Linked DNA regions of Rhinolophus ferrumequinum. The main gene of each other region encodes a partner of the protein of the gene in region 2 in a complex. Links are inferred from orthologs where the notes say so. Each region holds a gene or a part of one and is shown on either strand. Other genes may lie near its edges.

Region 1 (7,931 bases), on a different chromosome or scaffold from region 2:
CTGTGGTACGGCAGGCCCAGGACATTAATCCACAGCCCAACAGCTTAAACCAGTTTAAACTCACGCCCACCTACACACCCAGGACATCTAGCAAGACCAGAAAGGTAGCATCTGACTTTCAATTACATTCCACAAAAATTGACTGATGGAGTGTCTCCTGTGCAGCCCTTTATGGATTACTGTGTGTTCTGTTATCCTGCACATACAGAGAAAGAACCAGGTTCTTTGCCTTTTCATGGTGAACCAAGCAACTTCATTGGCTGCATTTACAAGTCTAATTAAAGCAGCATTTCATGACTTCCATTATTTTCATGTATTTTGTTAATCTAACAGTAATATTCCATCCTCTGAAACTTCTGTATCTTGACTTCACTCCCAGTGATTAAATAGGCTAGGGATGTTTAAAGTGTTAACTCATGAGCTCAGTGCCGATAGGTCTCACTGGATCCTGTGGCCTTGTGTGTTTCCCACCACAGGAGGACTGAGGGAAGCAAGTAGTGAGGGCAGGTCAGCAAAACATTCTGGCCATTACCAGAGAAAAATCAAACTATGGGATCCCCATACACGAAGATCTGGGAAACCTTGTAATCCCCACTTTTCTCTCCCCTGCAGCAGAAAACATCATGAGTAATAAATAATGAAACGTGTGTCTTGTCTGATCTGCTCATGTAAAGTTTATAGTCCCCTCTTTTCCCTGTGCAACTTTCCACCCTAAAGAAAAGCAGAACTATATGAAGGAGAACCTGAACAGAAAACTTTTTTTAAATGAGCAGAACAATCTGAACCGAAATGAATTTCCTCTTAGTTCTCCACCCTTTTACTGGCTCTAAAACACAACAAATGAGCATGATGCAAGGAACATATTAGGGCATGTTTTCCTAATAAAAGGCATATGGGAAATCTGAGCCACCCTAAAACTTTTCTTAATTATGCACTATTCCCAGTCTAATGGTTCAAAATTTTTAATTATGAATTTGCAAATGTTAAATTGCAGGCTGCTTACATCCCATTAACCAGTTGTCAGTGTGTTCATGAGGCAAACAGGAGTAAAGTTAAGATCCTTTCAATTTCATATGAATATTCTGTTCAGTTTCCAAATGCTCCTTTTTAAGGAAAAACGTCCTCAGACTAACATTCCCACATTCCAGGGAAAGCTGTTCCGCGTGTGCTTTGTGGCATACATTATTTGCTGTGCATGCAAACATCCAAAAGCTCAAATAAATAACTCTTCTTAGGAAATGGAAAAAGCTCATGAAACTTCTGAAACCCAAGGTTTCAGAGGCAGAGCGAATGGCTAATATTTTACTCCAAAAACCTACCTTTGAACCACAGAGAATGAGTAGCTGACTATAATTTGCTACTCTGATGTTAAACTTTCATTGTGATAGTCTCAGTCTAAAACAAACCAATTGGGGCCTACGGGGAATAAAAGAATAGCTTCAATAGAAGAAATTTCCAAATGACAATAGTTCTAGAATATGTTGGGTTTTCTTCAAACTAAACATTTTATTCATTCCTCTCTTTGTTGTTCTAGAGATGAAAGGCATGCTACAGTGTTCTAAGAAAATCTTCCTAGAATTTAAAAGAAAATGATTATTGAAGTTTGCCAATCAATATTAATGTAGTTAATAGGCCTATAACACGCATTGATAGTTTTTATCTAGACAGCATATGAAGTTTCACTCTTAGAATGGAATGGTATTTTATGTAAGCCTATTTTGATAAACTTAGCATGCATTTTCAATGCTTTTCAAACATCTGTCTTTTATTACCAGAGATTCTGATATCCAGATGACAACAAAATATTTTGAGTGCCTTGAAAGTTAGATCCTGCTCCTTATTCCTGTCTTAAATCATAATTTTATTGTGACATCAGGTTCATTTACAAGCAACATTTTTATTTTCAGGACAGGCAGGAAGTTATTCACCCTACAGTGCAGATTATGTTTTCATAAACACGTTCCAAGTAAGAAAAATAACTAAAACTACTATGTATGCAAAATTCATATTAATAAACTCTTTTCTGACCTTTAAAATGTAGCACCAGGACATGTGCAAACTTATAAAATCAAACAGTTTAATTTTTAAAGTCACTTAATATTTTTATTAGCAAATTTTTATTGTGCATTAGGGCCAATATGCCCATTTAAAAAACAAAATAGTTTTTTCCTAATCATGGTGTTACTTTAATTTCTACATTTAACACCTTTTAAGTAATTGTTTACCTTAAGATTATGTATTGGGGGGGAAAGGGAAAAGATTGTAGTGTTTGTCAGATATAGAGAATGTATCCTTTTTAAAAGCGCTTCTCTCCCCTCGCCCCTGCTTTGTCAGCTGTGGGAGAGGAAAGCAAACTTTAATCACTCACAGAGATGCGGGTCAAGGTTCACACTCCAGCCCCGGGGAAACCACCAGTCACGAAGAAAAGAAGCAGGATCTGTAGGGCTAGGGATTCTGTTCAAAATCAGGTAGGAACCTGAAAATGAAATCTAGAATTTTAAGCCAGCTTGAAGAATGCCAGGGCTTTCCAACCCCGCATTTGCAATCCTCTGGGTTTAGAGACCTGAGGGATTCTTTCGTGGGGAGGGCAGTAAATCATTTCACAACCCAGCCCTCAGCTATTTATGAATGCATCTTTAAAAAATGCACAGCAATTGGTCAACTAAACGGAGGACGAAACTCCCATACGATACCACCAACAAAAGCTGTTCAAACAAAGCCTCCGAGGAAGCTGTGCGCGGTGCTGAAGCACGGTTTTCTGATCGGGTCACGGAGAGGGGCGACTCCACCTTAGGGCAGAGCAGAGCGCTCCCCTTCCCTCCGGGCCTCCCCGGGGTCGTTCCCCTAGAACGCAGCCCCGACCCCCGCCCCAGCCCGCACCGCACACAATGGCGCCCCAAGCTCCCGCCACTGGGTCCTCGCGCCGCCAGCGCGCCCCTCGCGCGAGCCACGTTCCCGGGTCTGCGCACAAAGGAGGCGCGTGGGCTACCCCGCGCCCCGCGCTCTCCCATCCCCGCGCGGCCACCAGGTGCGGATGCGAGCCGCCCAGCGCCCGCGCGTCTCCGCGCATCCCGGGCCGCGGCGCAGGCAAGGCGGGGAGCAAGGCCTCCCACTTCCCGGGGCTCCCACCGCCGGGGCCTGTCTGCCGTGGGGGCGCGGGCCAGGGGCACTCACTTTCTCGATGGTCCCGGGCAGCAGGCGCTCCAGCAGCCTGCAGAGGACCACCCCATCCTTCAGAGACGCCTGCAGGAAGCCCTCCGGGTCCGAGATGGTTTTCTTGGGCGACTCCAGCACCCCCAAGGTAATGAGCCACGTAACGGTCTGCTCCGCGGAATTCATAGCGGCGGCGCGCCGGCCTCCCCGCGCCGCGAGCCCGTCTCCGCGCGGTTCACCGCGGAGCGGCCGCTGCCGGGCCGGTTGCGCTCACCGCCCCCTCCTCCTGCTCGCCCATGGAGAGGCCGGCGACGGCGATTGGCTCGGGCGGCGCCGCGGTCCGGCCGGCTCGCGCTCCCTCGCGTGCGTCCTGGCCGACTGTCAAGTGCCTTTTCATTACATGCACATGAACCTGCGGCGGCCGCCCGGCGCCGCCCCCGCCGCCGCCTCCCGGCTCCCAGCCGCTGCCGCCGATGACATCACTGCAAAAAAGAAGAAAAGACGCCGCGCTGGAACGGCCCGGCCCCCCGGCCGCACACGCACCCCCACGCTTAGTCCCCGCGGTGGTACTCCCTCCACCCCCCAGGCCCGGCAGTGCGCGCGTGTCCGCACCTGCGCGCCTGGCAGTGGACTCCCGCCCCAAGGGCCTGGTGACCTCCAGGAGGCGACAGCCCGCCTGCCAGAGAGGGCTCGCGGGGACTCCCAGTCCGCGGGCGGCGCGCGCTCTTAACCGTTTGCGCCCTGCGGGGCCCATGCGCAACCCCCTCCAGAGGTGAGAGCCTAGCAAGACTCCTCTCCTTGCCCTGTCCTTTCCGCCGCCCTCTCCCCTCCTGGAAGGACTCGGAACCGTTTATTTATATTCTTAACTCATAAATGTTTAAATTATTAAATGCTTCCCAGAATGCTCTTTTTATTTTTGCCAGTTTTATTTCAAGGGGTGGGGGAGTGCTTCTCTCCACTACCTTGTAAGCCAATAATTACAGAACACAAATGATAATTATATCTGTAACCAGATGGGTCTAATTTGAAGAGGAATTGATTTTCCAGGCGCTGCTACGATCCTCGGGGGCGGGGGGGCGTGGATGCCCCAAACAGCGTGGCCGGTGTCACGCGTGCCCCCTGCTGGGAGGCCTGTTTCCGAGCAAGTGACCTCACTCGCTGGGGGGCAGTCGGCCCCACTCTCCAGGACCAGAAAGAAACCTCAGAGCTGCTCCACTTTAAATTGATGGTGATGTTTCAAACGCTGGTAGGAAGGTCAAGAAAACAGCAGAGCCTAAACTGTATCTGTACAGATGAACTGGAAGGAAGGACTGTGCAAACAGCTCAGTCAAAACAGGCCACTTGGCCAGATCACATTTGGGCAAGAGATGCTGTGAAGACGTGCAGGGTTGGACCTAAAGTACTAAGACAACCAAATGATGCACAATGAACAAGCTTTTTCAAACAACCAAGGACACTGACACGTTTATATGTTAACCAAGGAAGAGAGCCTCATCTTAAAAGAAGCAGGTTTTAGGTGTACATGTATGTCTGTTTTCTCCATCCAGTCTCTGAGTGCTTTCCCTGTGACAGTTTAAAACAGCATTAGCACTCACCTACAGAGAGCTACTATGTGCCACATATATTAGTAGAGTAAATGACATAGACTTAGAAACCATATAAAGATTTTTAAAAAAGAGGCTTAACTCTCCTCTTCTTCACCTTCTTCCAGAATACTTTTATTGTAATCATGAATTGCATTTATTACCAGCTTTAAGTGCTTAAATTTTTCCAAATGCAAACACAAAGTAATTCAAAGAGCACTATGAATTCTGGAATATGAGGGTGGAATATTTGGTTGTAACAGCAACCACTTCCTGGGCGCCCTGTGCCTCTGCCCAGTGCTCTCTCCCTGCATTCTATCACACCATCATTAGCACAGTTCTCATTGTCCCCATTTTACTGGGGTGGAGATGGACTCAAACGTGGGCTCTGTGACTCCAGGACCAACACACCTCACCTGTTTTCTAGACCACTTCCCCTACACGCTTTCTAGGAAACCGCAATCAACAGCTCGATCAAGTTTTGTGTTCAGAGACTCTATCAAGGGAAGGGTATGGACCCAAGAGTTGTCCACTGAGTCTCCTGTTTACTCTCATTACTGCTGAATTGGAGACATAATTTAGAATACAGTCATTACAATTTCAAATTTCATTATAATCTAGTAAAAAAGAGTAACATTCAACTTGACTCAATCAAATGGTCCTACAGAAAGACAGCTCTAGGCAGTGACCTTGGGTGACCAATGAACCTGGCAGCCAATTATTGTCAGATAATAACTGTAATAACTGCCACCTATAACTGGCCTTAGAAGTCCCTGAATGTTTAAATGCTTTATAGCTACTAGTGGCATTCTTTTACCTTGGATGTACATTAATTTCAAAAATGTTTGTTTGGAGCATGCTAGAAGTAACATTGTTCAAAGCTAGGTGTTTTAGGTATTTAATTGAGCTGTTTTAGTATCCAAGGTGGACATTTGGTTAAACTTAATATTTTTCCAAGTTCCTATTATAGGGGACATGTGCTATGGAGGAGAACTCATTGTTCTATTGGGTTGTCAATGTCAGCTCAGGCACATGTCCTTCAGTTCCCTCATTTCCCAAGAGAGGATTTCAGCCTCACACCCAGCTCGACTGCCTGTTCATTCCTGATCCCAGGCATTGTTAGGGGTACACCCACAAACCATTACCCAAAATTCAGCTGAACTGGGCTAACTTGATTTGTTAGCTTGTGGGTACTTGGATGATGGTGTTACAAAGATGTTAAAATCTACCCCAACCTAAAGCCAGACAGGCAGATAACTATTTACCTAGAAATGTGTAGCAATCACTGTCTGTAAAATTAATTTTATTGATTTGGACCATTATCTAGATTGAACAATTCAGTAAGAAGCAGTTATGTGAAGTCCATTGTATCTATTGTATGTTAAGGCACTCGTTTTATCAAACTGTATCTTATTTATTTGGCATAAATATGGTCACATACAAAAAATTAAAGATGTAAGGCAGGAAACAATAGCTTAAAAACATATATGGCTGAAAAATTACTCAGGCTCGGAAGACATTTTACCAATATAGTATATTATGAAACATAACGTCGGTGAAGCCCTTATCTTAGTTTGGATTCCCACAGAAGCAGATCCTGGCCAACAACTTGGGAGCAAGTAGTTTATTTAAGAAGTAATCCCATGATGGACAAATGAAGAAGGGGAGAAAGGGAAACAAGAGGGGGAGAAAAGTGAATCAAAGGTGTATAAATGAGCAACTGGGGCTCAGATCCCCTGGGGAGCCTCGAGAAACAGTGGAGCAGGTCTCAGAATTTTCTGACCAGAGGATGGGCAGGCTAAAATTTATGCCTCGACTCCCATCTCCTGAGATTGAGGGTCTTCCCCAGGGCAATGACTTCTAATACAGCAGAGCCTAAAGTTGCAGAGCAGGAGGCACAAATACCCTAAGTGGATCAATGGGAGTGATGGTAAGAGAGGCCAATGGTATTTCCACCCATTGATGCCTGGATGCTCCTTTTTAGCTACGTGGGGGCACAACACGATATAAAAGCCATTGGTTCAGTGTATGTGCCACATCCTAACTCTGCAGGAAGTCACCCCCAAGCTGGTTTCCTGCAAGTATCCATCCAGTGAGATGAATTGCTTCTGCCTCCAGGACTGTAGGGCTCTCATGTAATCACCTTGCCAACAAGTGGCTGGTTTTACCTCATCAGTGGGTTAGAATCAGCCTCTGCTGTGGGTAGTTAGGTCAGCCTTCATGAGAAGGAAGCCACAGCGTGGTTTTTTGCACTCCTCCATCCCCACCGCCATGACGGACTGACTATGGCCGGTTGTGCAGGGCCCTGTGTTGGTAAGCAAAGCCTGGGCTGGCTTCACTTGGCTACAGACACCATCTGTGTGCCTGGTTGCTGAGTGTCCCTTCTTCAGTGATACTCTGAAGATTGATGTGGGACTCAAGACCCACACGCCCGTGTCTGTACCCACAGTTTCCTCCACAGCTCCTCCACCACTTCCCTGCAACCATTGATCCCATCTTGCCCCTTCCAGGCACCCAAACAAGGAGCCCAGACACCCACGACTGTGCCCAAGCATCTGTACCCAAAGGAGATGACCAGCAAACTGCTCCAAGCTTTGCCAGTCAGAGGGCATCTCCTCACCATTGTCCTTTAGCACCACCCTGGAGTTGGGCTGTAGTGTGACGGCAGTCCAGATTCATTCACACCAAATTATCAACCAAATCCATTTGTAAACCAGGCCCATTCTCTCTCTGTCATCTGGGCATAGTAAAGATTCCACAATGTCACAAGCGTGAACTGAGGAGTATTGGGAATCCAATCAAGAGAGACAGGTGATTTGGAGCTCTGGGCCACTTGTGTCCATAGTTTCCTGTGCTTTCAGAACGTCCATGGCCATGCCAAATGCACCGTCCCTGATTGGTGGATGGCTGTTGTGCCAGCTCTACCTGATCATTTGGTGCTCCTCCCTGGTGGCTGACTTTCAACTCTTCTTTGACACTTTGTTTTAAGTTAGATTGTGTAAACAGCATAAGCTGTAGTTTATTTTTTATGCCTCTTTGATAGTGTCTGTGTTTTTTTAAATAGGAAAATAAGTCCATTCGGATTTAGTGTACTGCCTGATTCACTTTATCTTTTCCTATCCCTTTAAATAAATTATGTGTTTTATATTGTTGTAAACCTACTTTTTATAAAGCAACAGACATTTGAAGATTAAA
Region 2 (7,902 bases):
TAAAAGGCTCAGAAGTTAGGGTGCTTAGTTAGACTTGCAAAACCAAGTTGCAAATTCCCAAGAAACAATCCTGGCCTAGGATATTTCAACAGCAGTTTTCAGGTTTTGGCTAGAAGAACAAAAGCCGAAAACTCCTACAGGCTTTGGTGGAGAAAGACAGATGTAAAAGGGAGAAAAGCTCAGTCTAAAATAAATCCCCAAAAATGTTAGAATCCACTTGAATTTCCATATTGGAGTGTGGTTCCTCTTTATTCTGAGAACTATTCTTGAATAAAATCCCAATGTAGCAGCTGGCAGTAAATGGGACTAAATCATCTCATATTATTCATTCAACAAATATTTGAGTGCCTGATACATGCAGTCACTATTTTAAGCACTGGGATTCAAGTAGTGAACAGACAAAATTCTCTGCTCTCAGGAAGCTTTCAATCTAGTGGCAAAAGACAGATGGAACAGAATAGAATGTCAGGCAGTAAATGCTCTGATACAGAAGGAAGAAAAAGGAAGAGCGGAAGGGAGCTGGCAAGGAGCTGGTTTTATCAAAAGCAGATCTTTTAACCCGGCAGTTTTCAAACTTTAGCAAGTGTCAGAATCACCTGCAGGGCTTGTTAAAGCAGAGGTTTTAGGGCCCCAACCCCGAATTTTTCATTTGCAGTTCTAACAAATGTCCAGATTATGTTGATGTGGTTGGTGCAGAGCTCACACTTAGAGCTAATTGTTCTAACCCAAAGGATTGGCTATCCTCTATCTCATGGGCTTGCTTCTTCATTCAGACATTCATTCATTTCAAACACTTATGCAGTGCAAAGAACTTTGCTAGGCACTAAAACTAAACAGATCCTGCCCTCAAGAAATTCACAGGTTAACTAATGGAAAAGACAGGCACAAATCAAATAATTGCAGTGTAGTGCTGTAAGAGTGGTACGTGCAAGAGCCAAAGAATAAAAGAGCAACTCATCCTATGGAAGTCACAGGAAGAGAGACTAAGGGACTGCTTCTCAGAGGTCCAACAAGCACTTCTCCACAGAAAGGTAGGGAGTAAGGAGACCTGCATTCCAGGCAGAAAGAACAGAACAAGCAAAAGCAAGGATGAGAAAGAGTATGGCAGGGGAGTTATAGAAAAGTGAGGCTGCAAAGGTAGGCAGCCGTCTGATCTCTGAGAACTTCTTATTCTGTTTAAGAGTTTGAAAATGTATCTTTAGGACTAGTTGAGGTAGGGAGAAATGATGTGATGGGTTTTGATTTACAGAGATCTCTCTGGATACAGACCACTCTCCTTTCAGAAAGCACTGCTTCCTCCAAGCTTAGCACAGGGCCTCAGAACATATGCTTGGTACATGCGTATTAAATTGAATTGAACAAGCTTTTACCAAGTGCTGTCTTATGGATGAGAGGCAGGTCACCACCTTCCCTTTGGACTCACTTTGGCCAGGACCAAAAGACTGGTAAAACAGGTCTAGCAGCCGCAATTATTGCACACTACTCCCTGGATAGCTGGAGTCCCCAGAGATTAGGGCAGGCTTCCATTGTTTACATGTCTACCTCACCCACTAGACTTTGAGCTCTTTGAAGACAGGGAATGTCTTAATAGACTCTGAATCCCCATAGCCCTAGAAAACCTGAAACCCAGCAGCTCTCCACACTCCAGTAATATTGGGTAAATGAAAGACTGGATCAGCAAATTTACCAGACAGACCCATGAGCTCATCATACAGGTAAGGGTACGAATAAGCTTCAGGGAATGTTTCAGGGTCCATGTTCCCAAAACCCTTTTTGAGTCGAATTTCTAGTTGAGATGAGGTGTATTTCATATGCACCTGAGGATTTCCCAAACAGGAACAAGAAAAAGTTACAAGCGCTGTGGTAACTCCTACAGGCCTCTGATGGCCCCAGTGAGAAGTCAGATTTGCCTGATTAGAGTTTGGGGGTGTTTGCTAGCAACGATTTCGCAGTGGGGCGAAGAGAGAGGAAATCTTCAGTGGAGTCTTGAAAGCTGAGTAAGTGCTTGATACCTGCCTGTTTCTAGGGCATAAAAGCAAACCCCTGGAACTTTAAGGCTGGAAGTGACCTGCTCAAGGTCACACAGGAAGTAGGTAAAGTCACAAGGTAAGACCAGTGAGGCATCTGGGTACTGTTGCCTCCTGCTTTCCCCTGACAAAGTTGAGAGCGCCCAAAGACAGTAAGCAAACTAAAGATTTTTCTCTGGAACAATTCTTAAAGGCTAGACTAATGAATTCGAATTTTTATTGATAACCATAGTACCACCTTTCACAGTTCCGGGGGTGGGGGTGGGGAACGTACGACAGTTACCCAAAGGGTTTCACAAACAACAAGCACTTTGCTCCCAACATCCAAAACTTCTCAAGCATTCTTCCAAAAACATTCCCACCAATGTTGGCTGAGAAAATATTCAAGGCGGTAAAGGTTGCAACAATCATGTCTTTTGAAAGGGAATAATGAACATAACAATAGCTCTATCCTTTCCCTGTTTTTAACTCCACAAGTTAGAGTATTCCCGCGGTGGGGGAGGGACTGCAGAAGTCAGGCTCTATCCTATAGTATTTTTCAAGAAGTGGGACCCTACAGGTGATTCCTCCCTCCCGGACAGGGGTGCTTTTTCCAAGCAGAACGAATCGGACGCCGCTTTGCTTAGGCTTCCCCAGCGCCGGCCACGGTTAGCGCAGGAGGACCGCTAAGTTCAGCACGGAGTCGCTCCCACACGGGGATCTGGGGAGTCTCCCGGCCTCGCCCCAGCCTCTGTCCTCTCCCGGGTCCCTGGGGTCTCCTGGGTCCCCCAGCGTGAGACCCGCAGCCGCGAGGATGAGTGCACACGGAGCCTTTGTTGCTCGGACAGGAACGGCCAACCTCGCGGGTCGACGCCCCCGCTCGTCTCACCTGGCGCCCCCGCCCGCCCCACCCCGCCTCGCGAATGAATGGGGCCCAGGCCCCCGCACCCCGCACCCCAGCCTGGCAGCCTGAGACGCCAGCGGTACCCGCAGGCGGCCGGCTCTCACCTTCCGCGCTCGCCCGGCTCGACTGGGCTCCTCCTCCTCCTCCACCCGGGTGGCAGCGGCCGAGCCCGGGAGTGAGCGCGCGAGTGTGCGCGACGGGCCGCTGCACTTTCTCCCTCCCGCCGCCGCCGCGGCGCGCTCGGCGCCTCCCCCACCCCGCTTGGGCTGGGGCCGGGGAGTCCCCTCAGGACGAGGGGGTGGGGTGTCAGCGACGGGGAAGGGGGAAGGGAAGGAGCCAGGCGACGCGGGGAAGGGGGTGCGGTGGGGGGCGGGGACGTGAGAGGGCGCGGGCAGCCTCCCGGGGAGGAGGTGGGGCGAAGACAGTTCTTCGAGGGGCTCTCGGCAGAGTGGGGCTCCGTGAAAGAGGGGATGAGAGTCTAAGGGAAAGCGTCCGTGGGGTAAGACCGCAGAGCCGGCGAGGGAGGGAGGCGGCGGGGAGGGAGCGAGCGAGCGAGGGAAGCCGTGAGGGTCGTCTACTGCCTGCTGGCACCGTGGGCTCCAGCTGCAGCCGCACGCCCGCCCGCAGCCGCTCTATTGTACGCCGCGGGGCCTGGCGGGACCGCCTCTCCCACCGGCCCCGGCCCCGGCCCCCGCCCCCTTCGCGGCGAGGCAGCGGCGCTGGCAGAGCCCGCCCGCCCCGCCTCCCGCAGGTGGGAGGGGGCGGGGAGGCCAGGGCAGACCCACGTGAGTGCTGCCAACCCAAGCGTAGGGGAAGGCGAGCTTCTGGGATGACGTCATCGGCGCATGACGCCAGAGACTGGGGAATCACCCGGAGGCCGCATGACGTCATTGCACCAGCGGCTCGTCTCAGGTCCGGCGGTCTACAGCTGCAGGCTCCTTTGGCATGGCCTTTCTCCTGGAAGATTTTGGGACGCTTTCTGGGGGCGTTAATGGTGTAGGAAAAGTCCCAAAAGATGGCTAACCCCCTGGTCTTGTGGTCCTCTTCAGGTTACAAAGCACCACCGCATGTGCTAGATCATTACCAAGAGAGATATTTGAAAACCACCCCATCTCCTATGACCTCAGAGCCAAACATTTATTATACTATTTGGAGTGGAGAGGAGATAAAGAAATACTGTGCTAATGGAGGTTTGAACTATCTTGTACTGAGATTTAAAAAATGGGCTTCCTTTCTCGGTTTTCTCCGACCCTGGAGGATACATTCATCCCAAACCTTTCCCCTGAGCTCAGATTCTGTGTTTCCCCACGCTTCCTGGCAGTGTCATTTACACTTCATGTACCTCAAATTCCACATGTCCAAAACGGAAACCTTAGTGACTAAGCGTCTGGAATCAGATTGTCCTGCTTCAAGTCCCAGCTGTACAAATGTCAGGGATAGGACTTTAACATTTCTAAGTCACAATTTCTCCATAATAAGTACTACCTGTGTACCTAAATTTGATCTCTCCAAGCCTCAGTTTTACAATAATAATAATAACTACAATTTAGCACACATGAAACCGTTTGGAATGTTGACCATACCTCTTACCAATTTCACCCAAAGGTGCAACTAATGTTACTTCCTGCTCTCGGTGAATGGACCATCATCCAGCAGTCCCAGAAACCTGGACATAACCCTATTCTTCCTCTCTCGAGACCCTTATCAAATTAGTCACCAAATCCTGTAGAGTATCGTAAATATTTCTCAAGGCCTTGCCCTTCTCTTCACTCACTACCATGACCTAGACGACTAGAGCAGCTTTCAGTCTCTCCAAATTCAATCCATTCTTACTGGGGACCAGAGTAGCCTTTTAAAACCACAAACTGATGATGGCCACTCCTGTTTAAACGCTCTGGAAGCCTTTCGTACCATTCAACCTTGGGACTTACAGCAGCCTGTCTAGCTTCATCTCACACCATAAATCTGTTCCAACCACACCAAAATGCTATTTAATGTTCTTTGAACATACATTTCTTCATGGCTCTGAGCCCTTCTCTCTTTATCTCACTGGCCAATACCTATTCACTCTACAAAGCCCAGTGTGAACGTAAGAAATGTCCAAACCTATAGAGAATTTTTGTGAGTTTATTTGAGCCGAACTGACAATGGCCAGGAAGCAAAATCTCAACAGACTGAGAAAATGCTCTAGAGAATAGCAATGTTGGAGCTTATTTTATACTTTAGAATCAAAGGAGGAGACATAAGGAGGGTTACATGAAATCCATCGGTGGTAGATTACGGGGGCAGGAAAAAGCAAAGCGGGGAAATCTCTGGGATTGGATAAAAAGTAAAATGGAGAGAGATGCTTCTTTTACATTGGTGGGTCCAGGAGAGTAAATACTTAATATTTACAGCATGTAAAGATGGTATTGGGGAACAGGATAACAATGAGGGGTTCTGTGGTCTCCTGCTTTGGTGTGGTGGGTGTGCCCTGGGGCGTCTGGAAAGGGGGATTACTCTGACATTTCAAAGATATGTTATTTTAGATGCCAAAAAGACAACAGACAGGCTCACTTAAGGTAAAGATTGACCTTTGTCAAGGAAGCTACAGGCCAATGACGTGACTACCCACCATAACTAGCTTTTAGTCGGGAATTTTTTATGTTCAGATCATCCTATGTGGTCTCTTTGGGTCTCTGAGTTTGTAAGGCTGGCGGTGCAGTCCTCCCGAGCTCGTCAGGTTTAGTATGTGGCCCCTTGTTCATCCACACCAGCTCAAATGTCATGTTCATTTATTCATTCAACTGATAGTTCTTAAGTTTCCCTGAGCCTTCACACTGCTGTAATCCTATAGTACTTCCATGCCTTTCATGGCGTGTAGCACACTGTGTAGTAACTGTATTTGTCTATCCGACCCCCTGAGCTCCTTGAGATCGTCATATTTCTATCCATTCTATCCATATCCCCAGTATCTAGAACAGTGCCTGACACATAGTAAGAATCAATAAAATGTTATAAAAACGTATTAAATAAATGCTAACCTAGCACTTGCCATGTGCCAGATACTGTTCTAAGCACTATCTCCTGTACACCTCTAATAAGCCTTTGAGATAGACTACTGTTTCCCCCTCATTTTATTGATGAGGAAACTGAGGCACAGAGGAGTTAACCCAAGATCATAACCCAGTAAATTAATCCTAAACAAAATTGCTTTTGCATGGTCTCTGTGGTAGGCAGAATAATGTCTCCCTAAAAAGGTTCACATCCTGATAATCCCCAGAACCTATATGTTACCTTCCCTGACAAAAGGGACTATGCAGGTGTGATTAAATTCAGGGTCTTGAGATGGGGAGGTCATTCTGGATTATCCAGGTAAATTCAGTGTAATCACAAGGATTCTTAAAAGTGGAATAGGGAGGCGGAAGAGTGAGGAAGAGGTAGGTTAGACTACAGAAGAGGTCAGATCGAGTTATGACTGAATGTGAGAAGCACTCCACCCACGCTTTGAAGCCAGAGGAAGGGAGCTACCAGCTAAGGCATAAAAACCACTCCAAAAGCTAGAAAAGGTAAGAAGACAGATCCTTTTTTGGAGCCTCCAGAAAGAAACAGAGCCCTGCGGACACCTTGATTTTAGCCCAGTGACACCCATTTCAGACTTCCGAACCACAGAACTGTGAGGTAATGATTGTGTGTCTGACTGAAATAGGAGGATGTGACCACTGAACACCCAGCAGGTAGGGAAGGAATGGGGATGAGTAGGTAGGGAAGGAATAGATCCGAGGGTCTAACTTTTGTGTAGGGAATGAAAGCCATCCCCACCCCCACGCACATATCCACATACTCCCTCGAAAAGCAGCCTGAACCACAGAAAAATAAAAATAATGAATGCCTTGTTTTAAGCCACCTTACTTGTGGCAGTTTGTTACTGCAGCAATAAGAAGCGAGTACAGTCTCTAGTCAAGGGTGACAGCTCTGTGCTAACAAGGGGGAGCAGCTACTTGCTAAAGGTACCGGGTTCTCAGCTGCATCCACCCAAATGTCTCCATCCCAGGCCTCACGGTGCCACTCCCTACCTATGGAAACCCCGACTTTAGCATACGGGAACAGTCAAAGGATCTCGGCCCTATTACATTCTGGGCCTGATTTGCAGCATGATCTGCTCTCCGGCTGTGGGAGAAGAAGGTTTTTTAGAAATCTTCCGTGAAAGTCTTCTGGATTTCATCCCATGTCCTAAAGTGATAGGTGGATAACCTGCGCCTGAAAATCACTTTCTTCAAGGCTTTTAAAATAGTTAACAAAATCCAGTCAATTCCGTGAAATTATAATTAACATTACCGCCATATCATTCAAGTGCTGGAGCGCGAATTCTCAATGGGGGTGATACCTCCCCGCAAGGAAGTGAAACTTGTTCTGAGGTGGGCAAAACTACATCTTAGATATTACAATGGTTTGTGGGATATTTTCTTAAAAGTGTATTATCTTTGTATTATGATAATTGACCTATAACACTATTAGCTTTAGGTGTACATGATTTGATATACATGTATGTAGATATATATTGTGAAAGTTTAGTTTACATCTATCACCACATAGTTTAGTTAACATCCATCATCACATATAGTTACAAGTTTTTTTCCTTGTGATGAGAACTTTTACGATCTACTTCCTTTTCAACTTTCAAATATACAAAACAGTATTAACTATATAGTCACCATGCTGTACATTACATCCCCAGGACCTTATTTATCTTATAACTGGAAGTTTGTACCTTTTGATCACCTTCACGTCTTTGCCCCTCCGCCTTCCCACCTGGGATACTTTAAGTTTAATTTTTCTCTTTAAGAGAGCACTATTAAAAAACAAAACAGGTTGGAATCTCTGTGCTAGAGCTACTACCTAGTCTAAGTACTCCTTCCACTTGTACCTGTTCTACCACAGCTGAAGGCTTCGTTATGATAGCACAGCATATCAGGGGCCAGCACTGCTCAATTATCATCAACAATAGATCCT
Region 3 (7,470 bases), on a different chromosome or scaffold from region 2:
CAGATCTAAGTTGAGGAGTAGTGCTCTTTTCACTAGGTCAGAATGATTCCGCTTTCTAGGGGAGCGGGGTGAACGTATAGCAAAGGTCAGCATGGCCCAGGGTCCAAAATCCTGCCAGGCCTGTTTTCGTACAGCTTACAAAGAATGGTTTTTATGTTTTTAAATGGTTGGGGGAAAAAATTTAAAAAATATTTTGTGAATTATATGAAATTCTAATTTCAGTGTCCACTAACAAAGTTTTATTGGACTACAGCCAAGATCTTTTGTTTAGGTACTGTTTATGGCTGCTCTCCTGTAACAACCACAGAGTTGAGTAGTTGTAAGAAAGACCTCCTGCAGAGTCTAAAATATTTACCATCTGGCCCTTGACAAAAAAATTTGCAGAATCCTGATGGAGGAGGAGCAAGTGCTGTCTTAGAAATCAGAAGAAAAGTTCTACTACCATTAAACTCAGCAGCCTCTACTACCATTAAACGCTCAGTTTAGGAAAATAAAGGGTTTGGACAAAACCGATACCCATCTTCATTGTGGCACATTTTGAAGCTGAATGAGAAGGCTCAGAGTTCACGTGACTCACATAGGCAGAGGTTAAACTAGGACGGGTACAGGATGATGGAAGCGGTGGAATGGGACAGAGCTGGCCTACAAACACTGGTCTTCCTAGAACAAGTTCTCCCCACTATTGCGTTGCACACTGCCCCTAAACGGCTCACAAAGTCTCTGTCCATCCTCTGTCACATAATTCCAAGATAGAGAGCTTCTCTTGACTCTGAGAGAAAATCAGCTCAACTAAATGGAGGCAGCAAGCTTGAGCTTTTAGAGTCAGAAGCGGATTCCCAGCACCGACCAGTTACTACCTGAGTCCTGGGACCAGTTCTGGATCCCTTGGTCTTCTCACCTAAGAAAGACAGTAAGCAGGGACTTCCTTCACCAGTTTGGAGCATTAAATGAGATATACAGTTCAGATGTCCAGTCCCTTCTAATCTTTCTCCCTTTCTTAGGGACACTACTTGGAGAATAAACAGTAAGTGAGCCTTGACAGAAGACTTTCAAATCGGCTTAGAGTTTAAGATATTTTCAAAGCGCCCTATCAGTGGAGTAAAAATACACTATTTGGCTGGGTGTTTCCCTCACACATCTTTCAGTTCTTTGAAGCTTCCTCCTAATTATAATCCAAAAGTAAGAGTGCTCTCATTTTTAGAAAAGTTATGTTTATGCCATTTTTTAGCAAGCCACCCAAAGAACCAAGCTACAATATATTATACTCATGTTCAGTTATGAAGACCAAGAAGGCTGTAAAAAATACCAGAACCAGAAAGTCCTAGTTTATTTAGTCTGGCTTCCTTAACATGAAGTTCTTGTGCTTAAAATATTCAGCTTTGACTGAATTCCAAAACTGACATAAGCCTACTTTAGGTGTTCTGAAGAGGCTGAAGAGAATGAGAACTGAAAACAAGATTAGAATATAAAACCTTTTATGTGATCACAAATGCAAGAGCCTTATTGTTTGAAACCACCATTAAATCAAATTTTCTGCCCACACTTATAAAAATAAGTATGTATATATGTTCAATATTGGTTATACAGGGTGCTAATGGTTAGTTTAAATAACATTATTATTCTTAACATTTGCTAACAGATAGCTAATCGCTTCAGTCACTGGAACTACAATACTTTCTGAAATCTGTGATAGGTTAAAATACATTTTTTTCATGGATCATGCTAGCAGTCACTTTAATGGCCAATTTAGTGTTGGCTGTCAAGAAAGCCTATCAGCATTTTAAACAATGCTAAATTATACACTTTCCAGTCCATCATGGCATATGGGGTAATGAAAAACAGACCCTGGTCCTTTCACTGAAATCCTAACAAAGATACCACACAAGTTTAGTGTAAGTTACAAGGTTATTACTTTTGGAAGTAATTACTTAAAAGTTGATAAGAAATGAGAAATTCAAGCCACCAAACTTAAGGTAACATGAGGTGGGAAGATCAGGACATGACATGCAAATTCATACAGACACACTACGTGCATGCAGCTGGCTGTGTGGCATAAGTTATGGTTTCTGTACTCACAAAACTATACAGAAGAAAAGACCAAAAAAGAAAAAAAAAGAGAACCCTCACCTCAGTCACAGGTAGATACAGAAGGAAAATATGGGCCAAATCTAACACAAGAGAAACCAAGACACTGAATGAAGGGCTGATTGGGGCCAGTATCTCGCATTGCTGAGGAACAAAAGTTCTGTATGAGGACCACACAGACCCCAGGGCTCCAGCGCCGGTGGGTGGGTGGGTGGGTGAGTCAGCCGGTCTCTCGCACAAATACACACAGGCTCTTGCACCAGCACCCACTCTCTCCCAAGAGCAGCGAGCGCCAGCAGCAGTCGCGCAGCGCTGCTGTCTCTAAGGTGCGGCAAGAAGTAAATAAGTAGGAAGCACTCCTGCTGCCCAGAAAATTATTTTTCTCCTGCCCAGAAAAACATATTTTTAAACCCTGCAACGGCCAGGGATCGTGGAGCATGGGAAAGGGTTACACACGCACCTGCATTGTAAAAACGGTCCAGCACCGTAGTCTCCCCAAAGTCCAGTTTACCAAAATGCAGGGTCTCCAGGGTGGCGCCCACCGTTTCGCACGCCTCCCGCAGGCTCTGCAGGGCCTCGCTCTCAGCCACCACCAGCTGCCCCTGGCTCGCTTCGTTGATCACATATGCCACTGTGGTCCGTCGGCTGCCTCCGCCACCAGAGTTGCCCCGGCACCGGGTGGCGCTGCTCCCGGAGGTGGCAGCGGGACACCCAGTGCCAGGGGCGGCGGCATTCTCCACGTTCCAGAAGCTGCCCGGTGGCGGCGGTGGTAGCTGGCTGTCCTCGCCCTCGGCTACCACTCCTCCCCTCCGGCAGCTGCCGCCCTCAGCGAAGGCACAGGGGCCCAAGGGGGCAAAAGGTGGCACGGAGAAAGTGATGCCCTCGCCCGCCTCCGTGCTCATCTCTCCCCGCCCGGCTGCAGTGGCGGCGGCGTCCCCAGACCAGTCGCACCGTCTGGCCAGCCACAGCTCGGGGCTGCTCCGCGCGCGCCGGGCTAAGCAGCTGCCATCGCGCGTCGCGCCTTCCGCGCCGCGCCGCCGCCTCTTCTCAGCTGCCCTCTCCCCCGAAGGGACGCAGCCGCCGGGCGGCGGCTCGCCCCTCCTCGGCGCCTCCGTGGCCGCGCCGCTCCGCTCGCCCGCTGCAGGGTGTAGAGTACAAGGGGTGGGGAAGTCGGGTTGAGCTGGAAGGGACAGTGCTTCCTTTTCTCGGCGGGCGAACAAGTCGCTCACAAACCTGCGCCGCGGTGCAGCTCAAGGGCGCCGCTCTTGGGGTGCGGTGCGCCTTGGCCACCAGGAGCACGGCACCGGCTCCTTCCGTGCCAGGCGCTCTGGGAAGGGCCAGGAAGAGCGTTCTCTGGGTGGGGAGCTACCTGGCCAGCACCTTACGGGCTGGCACGCTCCCCGGGCTGCGTGCCGGAACAGCGGCAGCTGCAGTCGAAAGGATCCGCCTCGCTGTTCCACGGCAGTTCTCCTTCATCTGCTCTATTTCCTCTTCCTCCCCTGATCTCCTTTTTCTTCCGATCGCCGCGGCCGCTAGGTCCCGGCGCCAGCCTTGCAGCTGGAGTCTCAGCGCTCCTTGCAGCCGCTCACGCTGTGGGCCACCGGCTTCTTGCCGCCCACTCGTCGCAGCACCGAGAGTCAGAGCCCGCCCCAGGGGAGGGCGTTGCTGGGAATCTCGAGCCAGGACAAAACTGATCGCGCCCAGCACGAGTGCTGTCCGGACCAAGGGTCTCTGCCGTCTCCAACCAGGCCCCCACCTAAGAACATCTGGAGTAGGCAGAAGCCCGGAGCGCACGAGACAACAGTATGACGAAAAAAAAAAATAGTCTCTCTGGCGAATGCTCGGATCCTCTGAGCTAGCCTCGAGGCATTTACAGCGTTCACCGCCGCCACGGCGCCCTCCTCTGGTCCCTGCCTCCGCAGCGCAGTCTGGAACCGCCGCCTGCCCTGAAAGGATTGGGGCAGCGCCGGGAGGCCCGCGTTGCGCAAAGCGGGGGCATTTCAACCAGCGCTAGGGAATTGGGGCCTAAATTGGGGAGGGTGTTTTATTAGTGACAATGGCGCTCCGGAATTGGCAGGCTAAATTTATCAGATGTGCGCCTGTACTTTTCATTTAAAGTTTTCCAACAGCTGTGCTATCATTAATGAGTAATTGATTAGGTTCAACTGCTGAGAGATTTAACATTCTCATTTAGGATCTTAACCTTCCCCCAACACACACATATGCTATATACTTACTTGAGATAGAAGAGGAGGTCTATACCAGATTCGGCAAATCATCAGCCGCCAGTTGAAAGAGGAAAATTAAATGACTTCTTCTGTTTTTTTAAGTTGAACCACAGGCAGAAAAAATATGTGGATTGCTTAAGAGCATTCAAAAAGTACCTACTTATTTGGGGAGCAAAAATAGAAGTGTAAATTCTCAGAGAACTCCAGAATGCTATGACTTTAGGAAAACCAGTGAAAATTGCAAGAAAATAAGGTAGGCAGGTTTTGGGTTTCCCATCTCCAGGAACTGAGATTAATGAGTCCTATGAAAAAGGTAGAAGAATAATTCAAATTACGTTCAAGCTTGGGTGAAAAAGGAAGGATGAAACAGTTGAGTAGTAAAGAGTTCAAATGAGGAAGAAAACAGTAATAAGAAGAAAAACACCTAGTAGCTACGCAACTGTATCCCCAAGGAAGCAAAGTGACATTAGCTTTTTCTAAAGGTTTGTAAACTGACAGAAGTGAATTTATAGTAAGGATACTTAACACTCTTCATATCAATTGGAATCCATGTGATCCACACGTGCTTTTGGACTTGATGTCATTAGAAAAGTATTTAGTGAATCAGTGACCGTACTGAAAACAAAAACAAAGACAACGTTGATGGGCTACTAATATAATAGATATATAACGTTTAGTATTTCCAACGACTTGTCAAACCTCCAAACTCCTGCGGGAATAGATGATCCTCTACCCCATCCTGACCCAAAACAATAAACACTGGAAATTCATTAGGATCAAGTCTGGAAAACTAAAATGCCTAAATTCTCAATAGCATTTTACCACACAGATCTAAGATTATATAAAGGTATTTTCTAAAAACCATAACTTTTTAGACCGTTTCAGCTTTGCTTCCCTTCTAGATCTTTTCAGAGCCACCTTTTTACTTTTGCTCGCTTCATTTTGCTTTGAATTGATTTAATAATTTTAAAGATTTTATTCATTACTGGCACCCAAACCCCAATGCAATGCTGAAAGACTGCTTGTACATAGTTGGTCCTAAGGCTCTCTCACTACCTAAATGGCATGGTTTAGCTAATGAAACTTACATGGCATATATCAGGTTGAATCATGGAATTTCCAGTTTTATAACTAATAATCAAATATGCAAAAATTCAGATGGTTCAACTTGCAACGCAAATGTGGGGCCTGTGTGTAAGCAGAGGAGATAGATGTGGTGCCAGTACCCAGCCTGCCCTCAGCTTGCAAGGCTGGCCCAAGGTGCACATCTGGAGAAATGAAAGCATTTTTCTAATTGGACCACCCAGAGGATGCGCATGTTTGCAACTTGTCTGGATCAAAGGAGCACTTTTTTCTAAAGGGCATCTCAGGGTTGTTCTCAAACAAGCAAAATGGTGAATTTCAAGCTTGAAATGGGCAAGGATCTCCTAGCTAGCTAGCTTTTGTTTTATGTGACAAGTTTGCCTCTTTCTTTGTATCCTCAGATAAGTGGGAATACAATATACGTAATTGTATTGTACTCGTAATTCTAAAAAGTATTTAAAGTTACGTACAAAACAAGGTACATATAATTTTAAATTGTCAGAAATCAATCAGGAAGCCAGTAAAAGAGATATCAAGCACACATATAAATACATAATTCAGTTAATTGCTAAACTGAGCTCTGTGTGTTTTGGCTGCTAAAATAAAAAGAAAACATGTAAGAGTACACATATTCATATGAAGAGTCAAATCTTTTTCCGACATTAAATTCTATACTTTACTACATAGAATCTGATATAGAGGACAGTGGGCAATACAATGCAATTGAAAATGGATTTGTTTGTAAAAAATTATATATGTTAGTTATATATTAGACATAAATTTATGTTTAATATTTTTAAAAGCCAAGAAGATAATATTAATTATTAACTCAAGGAAAGCATTTTAGAAGAATCTAAAATAAGACAAATCAGATATAATACTTTCTGGTTATATTGCTTTAATAAATGGAGGAACCAAGGGGATTATATTTCTTCGTTAGCTCACAAATTGACATTCTGCATCAGGGCAAAAAGGAACCCAAGGAGACAGAGAGGTAACATGTTGCGTAGATCCACAAATTGCAGGCTTCCCGAAGCTTTTGACAAAGATTAAATCACAGTCAGTAAATGATAGAATTATAACATCATAAAGATTCTATGACATCTTTACACATGAAAAAGGCATGGCAGCAGAACTGAAGTTTACCAATCAGAACTATATTCTCAGTCAGGGTCCATCCCATTTCCATTTAGAGATGGGCCTTGGGACACTTTGAGAACACTTGCAGGTAGGGCAGAAAATTTTCCTAATAAAAAACTGGAGGAATATCAAGGAGAGATTTCCGCTTTCTGATTATGACAGGTTAGGTAATTCTGATCAACCCTCTCACTGAAGAAGACTAAGAATGATGGACAAAATTTTTAAAATAATAATAATTAAAATAAAGGCATCAAAAAACTAATGAGATCATGTGAAACTATATGGCCAGATTCTGGAAGAGAGGGCAGGGATCCAGAGGGTGTGCCTACAGTCAGGGCTGCTTCTGTCCTGGCAATTTTTGTGGATCTGAATTAAGCAGCTGAGAGGCTAAACTGTTGTTTTTTTGTTTATTGGTTTTTTTTGTTTTGTTTTGTTTTTTTGGTTTTTGGTTTTTTTCACAACACCTGGAAAGTCAAAAGTAAGGATGAGATAACCTAGAAGTCAGGGTGAACTAGAAGTGAAATGACCTTTACCTGGATAACAACCAGGCCTCCAGACATTTGCGTAACCCAGGAAAAAGGCTCAAACCCTGAAATTGGATTAGGGTAATTCCAGGCATTTGGTAATCAAAATTCACTCCAGAGGAAGCTAACATCATCCTGGGCCATGAAGTATTTCTGTAAATATAAGATCAGTGAATGTAGGCAAACATTTGAATGGATGGAAGGGCAGGGGAGTAGGAGTAAGAATATGAATTCAAATCCTGACTTTGCCATCAGTTCCTGAGTTTTCCCAAATCCACTCTCCATTCATATCCCATAGTCTCTGCCTCATAGACTAATATGTATGAACTAAATCAGTGGGTTCCCTTGCTTTCTGTTTACCAACTGGGGTTGGTCAATGGGGAGTCCAAGCAGGGGGTCTGAGAGAGGAA
Region 4 (8,541 bases), on a different chromosome or scaffold from region 2:
TAATATGTGTAAAGCCCTCAGCACAGGACCTGGCATATAATAAGCACTCAATAAATGGTGCTACGATCATTGCGAAACTCAGTTCAGTGTGTTAAATGCCTAAAGGGAGGAACAGAATGCCAGGCACTGGGGGACTGCAGTGGATAATTGAGCCAGTAAGAGATGCCTGCAGGGTTGTACTAGAACCAACCAGTGGATAGAAGTAACAGGCACACAGATTTCCGCTCCAAACAGGAAGACTTTTTTAACAAAGTGGAGTTGCCCAATCATGAAGCCAGCTGCCTTAGTGGGCTGTCACTAGAGGATCCCAGCAAAAAAAAAAAAAAAAAAAATAGCTGTTTACCAGGTAAGGAAGATTGGGGAGGGGGTGGCCTGGATAACCTTGAAGGTGACTTGGGGCCAGTTTCTGCAGGTCAGCCCCTTTCGCTGTCATGTTGGTTAATCAGTACATTTGCATTTCCCTGATACTTACAGGGAACCTTTACTTCCAAGCATCCAAAAGGGATGAGGAGAGATCAGTTTTAGACAGAAAGCCTATGCCTCATGAATAGTTCATGACAAGGAGGGAGACGGAGGGGGCTGTCTTAAATCTCAGGTCTACAGATCATGCCTCGGAGGGTGTGTGCATCTGTGCACTTTTCTCAAAAGGGTTTGTTGAGAGGGGTAGGTCCATACCAACTTTTGACAAAAGGGGAAACTGAGGCACAAATGGGCTGGGTCCCTCAGGCAGCAAGAGGGTCCACGCCCTAGGATGCAGACTGGCAGCCCAAAGCTGTTGTCCTATGAGCCAGATGCCTTCCATGCCTTACTCTCAAAAGCCTCACTAGATCCCCCTGGGGTGGGACCTTTGAGCTCAGAGAGGGTAGAAAACCTGCGCAAGGACACACAAGTGAGCAGTGGGGCTGAGATTTGAACCCAGGTTCTCTGGGCTCCAGAGCCGGTGTCTGGTTTTTAACTCTCAGGTGTTTTGTTGTAGGTCAAGAAAAAATTGAAAGGAGTTTGGCTTTGACATTGAGGGGACATGTTAAAGATGATGATCCTCAGAGGTGACAAGCTCTCTGCTCATCCACCCTCAGTCAAAATTAAATTCAAGTCAAAATTAATTTCCCCCCTAAATAGCAGAAGGGGGCAGGGAACAGGAGCGTAGTTTCTATATGACTCAGGCCAGAAACCTCAAAAATATGGGCCATTCAGAAACCAGAAAACTTTTCCCACAGTCATTCCCACTAGGCTGGGAATTGGGACCTGGATGGAAGGCTATGGTGCCTATTGCCATTCTGCTTAGCTCAAGGTGTTTTCATGGAGGTCAGGGTTCAAGGAAGCCCAGGAAACCAAAAGGAGACCTCACTCGACTCCGCCCTCTCCCCGAAAATTGAGGAGTAGCAATGGGTTTAACAAAACAACACCCCAAATCTGGGTGCCCTGGGGTGCCTGACTCTGGGCAGAAAGGAGTGGCTATCCAATCCCCAACTCCTCAGAGTGGGCTGGGGAGGATTTGAAGTTTTGGGAAACCACTGGAAGCGTTGGAGTTGGGAAGCTAGAGATACCCCCCCAACCCTCAGCTGGCTGCGGGTCCCCACTAGGTGTGCCTTCCTTGTAACACCCACAGCGATTCTTCCCCAAGGACCCAGAGATACAGGCAGGGCTCACAGGAAAGTTTCAAGGGTCAATGCACCAGGTAGACATTCTTGTGGCATAGGGGTTGTAACGTAGAAAGTGTGAGTAAAGCAAAGTCGCGGCCCACTCCTCTGTCCTGTACCCCCAATATCTCCTATCAGGCCCTCCAGACCCTCTCCAACCCGAGATCCCTCTGGGACCGCTGCAAGCCCGCGGGCCCACTTCATCTTGATCTTACCTCTACCCGCCAGCTGGGCCGCTCAGCGCTGCCATCCCAAAGGCGCCGGAGCCGGCCCAGGGCCAGGGTCACGAGGTGGTGGGATCGCGGGGTCGCCAGGTGGCAGGAAAGTTTCCGTAGCTCCAGCCAGGCGGAGCACAGCAGAACGGGCCAAGCAGGCGGCGGGCCGGGCAGGAGTGCGCCCTGGCCAGCTCCGCGCCTCCTCCTGCGCCTGGGTGCTCCAGCTCCCGGGCTTCTCTGGCCACCCAGCCCGCCCAGCCCTGCCAATCCGCAGGCCCAGCCAACCGCAGCTCCGCCCGCCCCGCCGGCACAGAGCGGAGGTCGGGAGGGGAGGGGCGGGGGCGCACCTGTTTGACCAATCCACCCCAGTACTGCAACCCCGCGGGGCGGGACCGGCAGGGCGGACCCCCTCGGCTCCCGGCACACGCCCCCTCCCCCCCCCGCTTTGGTTCAGGACTTAGGACGCGCCACACACCCCCTCCCTTCCACCCCCGATCTAGGCCAGGCCACACGCCCCTCCGCCCCCACTCTCCAAGCCCCGGCCCGGCCGGGTACAGCGCATCGGCTGTCTCAGCTAGCCCTCCCAGGGCCTCTGTGCCAGCCGGACTGCGCTCCTCACCAGGCCCTGAGGATTTCAAAGATAATAGCCCGGCTTTCGCCTGGGGGCTCTCGGGGCACGCGACTGAGGAGTGGACCGAGACTCTGCCTTGCTCACCCCTCTAACAAGTCTACATCGTCCTCTCCTGCAAGGATTTTCACAGTCCGCTGACCCCTTAAACTTTGCTGTGGGCCCCTGCCTCCATTTCTGACAGCAGGGGCTGAGAACTGATGCTAGGTGCAGAGTTTTGGGAGATATGGGGGGTAACAAGGAAGGCACCTCTAACCCTCCCACTAACATAAATTCTCGAGGACTCCATCTGGGTTGGAGTAAACGTCTCCAGAATGCTTGTGATCCGCTTTAAAGGGTTCCCCAACTTCTCTAGGGGTCATAACAAATATTAAACCTTGACGATTTTATTGTCCCATTTTCCAGATAGGAAGACTGAGGCGAAAAGGGAGGTGATCACTTCTCGGACACTGGTGGTGAGACTGCAACTTTTTCAAACTACAGGTAAGTGTACAGAGAACACCTGGCTCTTCTCCACAAGCCCTGCGCGGATGCCTGGGGTCTCCTCCACCTCGCCCCCCGCTGCGGACCTGGGGTGGGGAAGGAGAAAGAGGCCCCAGCAAGTGCCTGGGAAGAGCGATGGACACGCCCGCAGGCGGCCCGGCCTTACCTCCGCAGCAAATTGTGTCCTCGCAGAGCGCGCCGGCGGGAGGCCCCAGCAGGGGCAGGGAGGCCCAGGCGAGCGCGCGGGAGGCAGGGCCGCCGGCTCCCATCCCGGACGGCCTCGGCGGCGCCTCGGCCCGCGGACCTGCCACCCTTCGCGGCACCTGTGGAGACAGCGCTGTGCCTGCGGACACGGCCTCGGGGGTGGGACGTGGGCCAGGCCCGGGGTGGGGCCGTGCGGGGCTCCCCGGGCTTCTTAGACTGTCGCGGCTCGGACTCCCACAATCGCGGCCCCGGCTCCCGGCGGGCTCAGTTCGCACTGGGCAGGGCGCTATTTTTAGCGAGAGCTGCTCTCCCAGTTGGACAGACAGAACCAGTTAATTTGGCCGCTGGGGAAGGGCCTGCACCTGGAGCTCCCCGGAACAGCAGCCGCAGCTCTGCTGAAAGCTGATCCTTCGCATTCCTGCCTCGCGAGGCGGGAGGGCGGGAGGACGCCTGTAATTCCTGGGGGAAGCCAGCATCCTCTCTGAAGGCAGCGCCTGGGCCCCAAGTGCACGCCCAGCATGGGGCTCTTTAAATTGACTCTGAAACCCCACCAGACTTCTTCCTGCTGACCCGAGGCCTCAAACCACTTCCCACAAAATGCGCACTGCAGGTCCCACCCTCCCTACTGGTCTCCAGCACGGGGAAGAGGTCCCCAGACATGGAGTCTAGGCCCTAGCACCAACAAAAGCTGACACGCACACATCACTCAGGAGCTCCTGGTTGAAATAAGGGAGGAAGGAGTGAAAATCATAGCCCAGATGAGTGGGTGGATCAAGTACAGCCTGGGCAGTATAGCATGGATGCAGAAGGGTCGCTTTGAAATCCTGCAGAACCCCTAATCTTACACTTTCTGGCTGTGTGACCTCGGCAAGTTATCGCACTTCTGTGACTCAGTTTCTTCTTCTGCATTAGAAGCCCAAGAGACAGAGTGTGAGAAAGTCTTTGTAAATAAAAGCATGACATGGATGTTCATGTAATGAGTGATGACGAAAAGAGTGCATGAAAAGATGAATAAGACATGGGTCTTCTGTCTGACCCTTCTCATTCAGGAGAGGAGGTTCTGACGGCCTAAGAAGGTACAATGAGACTGTATGATATTAACTCAAGGATAGATAGATAGATAGACAGCCAGATAGGCCAAAGGACTAGAATAGAGGCTGCAGAAATAGACCCACACATGTGTGGAAACCTGATACGCGGCAAGAGGTGAGGCTGCAGTTCACTGGGGAAAGGGTGGACTGTACTACAAACAGTGATTTATAGAGCAATTGGCTGTTCATACTGGGAAAAAATTGAGGTGGAATCCCTACCTCACTCCATGCATTAAAAAATCAATTCCAGGTGGATTAAAGACTTACATGCTAAAAATATGGAAAGGTTTCTTGAAGACCTTTGTGTCTTTAGGCATAAGCTATTAAGAAAAATATCGATGCATTTAATAAAGTATAAAGCCCTTGTTTATCAAAGCAAGATATTGGGGACACAATATCCAAAATATACAAAGATCTTCTACAAATCAATTTCAAAAGAAACAAGAGATAATTGGGCAAACTATATGAACAGATAACTTGAAGAAGGGGAAACCTGAATGACCAATAAGTGCATGAAAAGATACTGTCTCACTCAGACTAAGGGAAATGCAAAATACAACCCCAGTAAAGAGCCGTTTCATACCTGTGAGATTGGCGACCAGCAAAGAGGTAGGGATAGCTGAGAGAACTCTCATACACTGCTGGCAGGAGGCGAAATGGGTACCACTACTCTGGAAAACAATTTGACAGCATCTACCATAGACGTGTCGCAGATGCATGCACCCCAGCGACCCAGAGACTCGGCGTCTGGGATCAGCCTACAGAACCTCTCGCTCATTGCAGCAGTTTTAATACAGTAAAGAGTCTGAACAGCCTCAATGCCCATCAGGGAAGAATGCATGAACAGACTGTGGAGCCCTCAGTGAAATTCTACACTGCAGTGAAAATAAACCACTAGAGCTTCCTTATGAACTAGTAAGTCAGGGGTGGGGAGCAAGTTGCAGAAAAATCAAATAGTATGATATATAATTCATATAGATTTTTAAAATGTGCAAAACAAAATGATGCCGTATAATGCTAGGAACGCACATACATGGTAAAAGTATAAAGAAACTCAGAGGAATGATAGATAGATAAATACACCATTCAGGGAAGAGTTTCTCTCTGGGGGGAGGGAGCTACAAATGGATGATGGGAGGGGCTTCAGTCATATTGGTAAGGTTTTATTTCTTGACCTGGGCTGTAGGTACGCAGATGTTTTCTTCATAACTTTTTTTTTAAGGGACAGAACAAGCATGATGAGAATCCACATAAAATCCAGTCCTGCTTTTGAACTTCAGTTTCCTTATTTTAATAATGTGGTCATAGTGGCTGTGATGTGCTCAGCACAAAGCCCCTGGCTCGTGGTGAGAGTGCTCAGTAAACATGAGCGTCCTGCTCCCGTCTCACACCCTCGTCCCAGCCAGCTGAGGTTCCCACACCCGAGCACCACCATGCAGCCAGCTCTCCAAAGCGCACCCCCCCTCCCCCCCCCCCGTCATACCTTCATGCCTTCCTACAAACTGTTTATTTTTCCTGGCATTCCTGTCCTTCGTCTCTGCCAGGCAAGGGCCTGCGTCTCCTATTATGACCCAGGGCAGCCATTTCAGCCTGTGGGAAGCCCCTAGGAGCTCTGCACCGGCTCTCCCAGACAGAGGGTTACCACAGTGGCCGCCCACCCCACTGTCTGTGCTTATCACATTGTGGATTGTTGCACCTGGTTATGGAGCTGTCTCCTCCCTGAGCAGACTGTGAGCTGCTCTAGGTCATACACCTTGTCTGAGCCACTATTGCTGCCCCACCACCTGCATAAAGCCTGGCCCCAGAAGGTTTGTTGAATGAATAAAGGGGTGAGTGGACCTAAATACTCAATAATAAAAGGGGTCATGCCAAACTCTCAAAAGGAAAGCGATCTCACATACAGATCTTCACTGAGTGTCCTTGGGAGGTGCTGTGACCTTTGGGGTCAGAGAGACGGGGGTTCACATCCAGGCTGAGCCACTTGCCAGCTCTGTGCCCTGGGCCACGCTGTATCCTTCTGTGCCTCAGTTTCTGTGTCTGCACAACCAGGATGTGACTGGGGCTTGTTGCAAGGGGTTCTCATGAGGATTCAGTGAGATAATAGAGGCAAAATGCATGGCCCCATTTTTGGAACAGGTAGTAATTATGTGAATATTGGCTAAGAGGAAGACGTTTACAGGGGAGGCTGGAAGGAACCTTTTTGCATTCCTATGAAAGTGGGAGGCTGAAAAACAATGTGAGCGGGTGTTCTCCAATTCTGAACAAAAGCACGCGCCTGGAGGCTGGCCCAGAAGATGGAAGGGTCAGAAATTATGGTCCTGGGGCTCCTCCCTCCTGTCCTTTGTCCCACCCCTGGGTGAGGGCTGTGCAATACTTCAGAACCACAGACCCTCCTCCCTGTCTCCCCACATCCACTCTGGCCCCCTTCAATCTGTTCTCACACATAGTCCAGAGATCCCAATCTGGACCCATCTTTTCTTTGCCAGCTTCCATCTGTAGGGGTGACAGAGCCTGTGGCACCTTCCCCAGGGGTGCGTCTGAGACGATTTACCAACTGCATCGTCTGCACTATATATGCAAAATCCACATATGTCCACTTGTTGGGAGCTTCCATCACGGCAACATAGAGGATGGCAAATGGCTTATGGTCCAGACTCTACAAGATGAATTGGCCAGTGTTAGATGTTGTACAAGCAAATACGTCAAGTCACCAGGGCTACACGGTCACTGGAAAAGAACACTGTGCGCTTCACGAGTTCAGAGATTTTCTGAACTAATGAGCTGATCCTCTTTGATCCAGATCGTACTGGACAAGGTAATATTATCCTAGTGACATGGACATTAGGCCCTTCATCTCACGCAAATGGCCATGCAAGGCAGGAACCTCACTCAGCCTAAAGTCTGCTGTTTCAGTGCTTTCTCAGAAAGGTCACCAGTGACCTTCTTGTTGGTCATGCCAAAGAATACCTTTCCATCTTTTTCTGCCCCGACCTCTTGGCTATACTTCACCCCCTGGACACTCTCTGATCTTTTCCAACTCTCCATCCTCTCCCAGTTTTTCTCCTAGTTCTCTGGTCCTCTCCTTGGCTCCCTCATTTTACTCCACTGGGCTACAAAAGCTAGAGTTTGCGATGGTCTGTGTCCCTCTTTTCCTTCCAGACTCTCTCCGCAGACAACTTCAACTGCATCCAGTCCGAGGGCTTAAACCGCTGTCCTCATGCCGGTGAGTCCCAAATGTTTATTTCCAGCCCAGTCCAGGCACCGTCTGTTGTCTCTTGCCGGGACTTGAGTAAGAACTGAGCTGGCTCCCTACATCCAGCTGGGCCCTCTCCCTGTTGGTCTCTTTCTACGGCTTCCATGAGGTTTTCAAAGAACAGATTCAATCATATCATCCCACCCCAGCTTAAAAGCTTTCAATGGCTTCTTATTGTCTTCATGTGGCCTAGCAGGCCCCATGCGGTCTGGCCCCTGCCCACCTCTCCAGCCTGGCTTCTTGCCATCTCCCCCCCCTTCTGTCTGCCTTCATCCAGCTTCCAGGTCCCCAGTTATGCAAAGCTTCTTCCCATTACACAACCTGCGCACACCAGAATCCCCTCTCCGAAACACTTTCCTCCATCCCTCTGCCCAGTTCACTTCTTCCCATGGCAGTTTAGGTGTCAAGACCCCACAAAAGCCTTCCCTGGCCTTGCATGCGACACACTTATGGCCAAGTCACTTTTCTTCGTGGCATGATCACTGGATCATTGTGTCGCCTTCCCGGGGCTGGATGTCCCTAAAGACAGGGATCATGCCTGGTTTCGTTCATTGCTGCACCTCTTCCCACCCCCAGCGAATGCCTTGGCACATAGTAGATGCTCAATGAATGTTGAACGAGTGAATGAACCTGTGTCTGCTTGTATACCTCCAGTGCTCAGCTGCTCATCATCGTTGGACACTGTTAATTACCAGAAATTTCCACATCTGGTACAAATACGTAGACATGTGCGCAAGTGTGAGTGTTTTGCCAGGTGCTTTGAGTGTTCTCTCACTTAATTCTAACCACCAACTCTGAGGTGATTCTGTCATTAATTTCCACTTGACAGGTGAGGAAACGGAGGCTGAGAGTTTAAGCAATTTGCAGAACATCACACAACATGTAAACGGCGGAGCCTGTACTCAAGCCCAAGTCTGTTTGGCTCCAAATCCTGGACTCTATACTACTGTGCCACACTACTGTATTCATGCATACAATGTTTCATAGTCATGCCAACTGACCAGTTGCTTTATCTCTTATTGGGGTG

The links.
Region 1: the proteins of PAK1 (region 2) and ARHGEF7 are in contact, whole or in part, in an NMR structure (PDB 1ZSG), measured with the Homo sapiens proteins. The link is inferred for Rhinolophus ferrumequinum from reciprocal best matches to the Homo sapiens genes PAK1 and ARHGEF7. Residues at the interface, in NP_001363202.1 of Homo sapiens: Thr185, Pro186, Pro188, Val189, Ile190, Ala191, Pro192, Arg193, Lys198, Arg203, Ser204; in NP_001106983.1 of Homo sapiens: Lys192, Phe193, Phe195, Thr198, Asp201, Glu202, Glu217, Gly220, Trp221, Trp232, Pro234, Ser235, Asn236, Tyr237.
Region 3: PAK1 (region 2) and MAP3K5 share a complex: the UniProt entries of both Homo sapiens proteins name them as parts of the cytoplasmic complex. The link is inferred for Rhinolophus ferrumequinum from reciprocal best matches to the Homo sapiens genes PAK1 and MAP3K5.
Region 4: PAK1 (region 2) and DAB2IP share a complex: the UniProt entries of both Homo sapiens proteins name them as parts of the cytoplasmic complex. The link is inferred for Rhinolophus ferrumequinum from reciprocal best matches to the Homo sapiens genes PAK1 and DAB2IP.

What each region holds. Positions count from the first base shown.
Region 1 is NC_046287.1:54,063,559-54,071,489, reverse strand, and holds the start of ARHGEF7 (rho guanine nucleotide exchange factor 7), read right to left. Parts: upstream 3,340-7,931; coding exon 3,175-3,339; intron 1-3,174. UniProt on the Homo sapiens protein: Acts as a RAC1 guanine nucleotide exchange factor (GEF) and can induce membrane ruffling. Functions in cell migration, attachment and cell spreading. Promotes targeting of RAC1 to focal adhesions. May function as a positive regulator of apoptosis.
Region 2 is NC_046294.1:51,808,863-51,816,764, forward strand, and holds the start of PAK1 (serine/threonine-protein kinase PAK 1), read right to left. Parts: upstream 3,512-7,902; 5' UTR 3,015-3,511; intron 1,716-3,014; exon of another isoform or gene 1,604-1,715; intron 1-1,603. UniProt on the Homo sapiens protein: Protein kinase involved in intracellular signaling pathways downstream of integrins and receptor-type kinases that plays an important role in cytoskeleton dynamics, in cell adhesion, migration, proliferation, apoptosis, mitosis, and in vesicle-mediated transport processes.
Region 3 is NC_046286.1:82,961,442-82,968,911, forward strand, and holds the start of MAP3K5 (mitogen-activated protein kinase kinase kinase 5), read right to left. Parts: upstream 3,200-7,470; 5' UTR 2,988-3,199; coding exon 2,546-2,987; intron 1-2,545. UniProt on the Homo sapiens protein: Serine/threonine kinase which acts as an essential component of the MAP kinase signal transduction pathway. Plays an important role in the cascades of cellular responses evoked by changes in the environment.
Region 4 is NC_046295.1:71,938,266-71,946,806, reverse strand, and holds the start of DAB2IP (disabled homolog 2-interacting protein), read right to left. Parts: upstream 3,308-8,541; 5' UTR 3,236-3,307; coding exon 3,133-3,235; intron 2,005-3,132; exon of another isoform or gene 1,856-2,004; intron 1-1,855. UniProt on the Homo sapiens protein: Functions as a scaffold protein implicated in the regulation of a large spectrum of both general and specialized signaling pathways.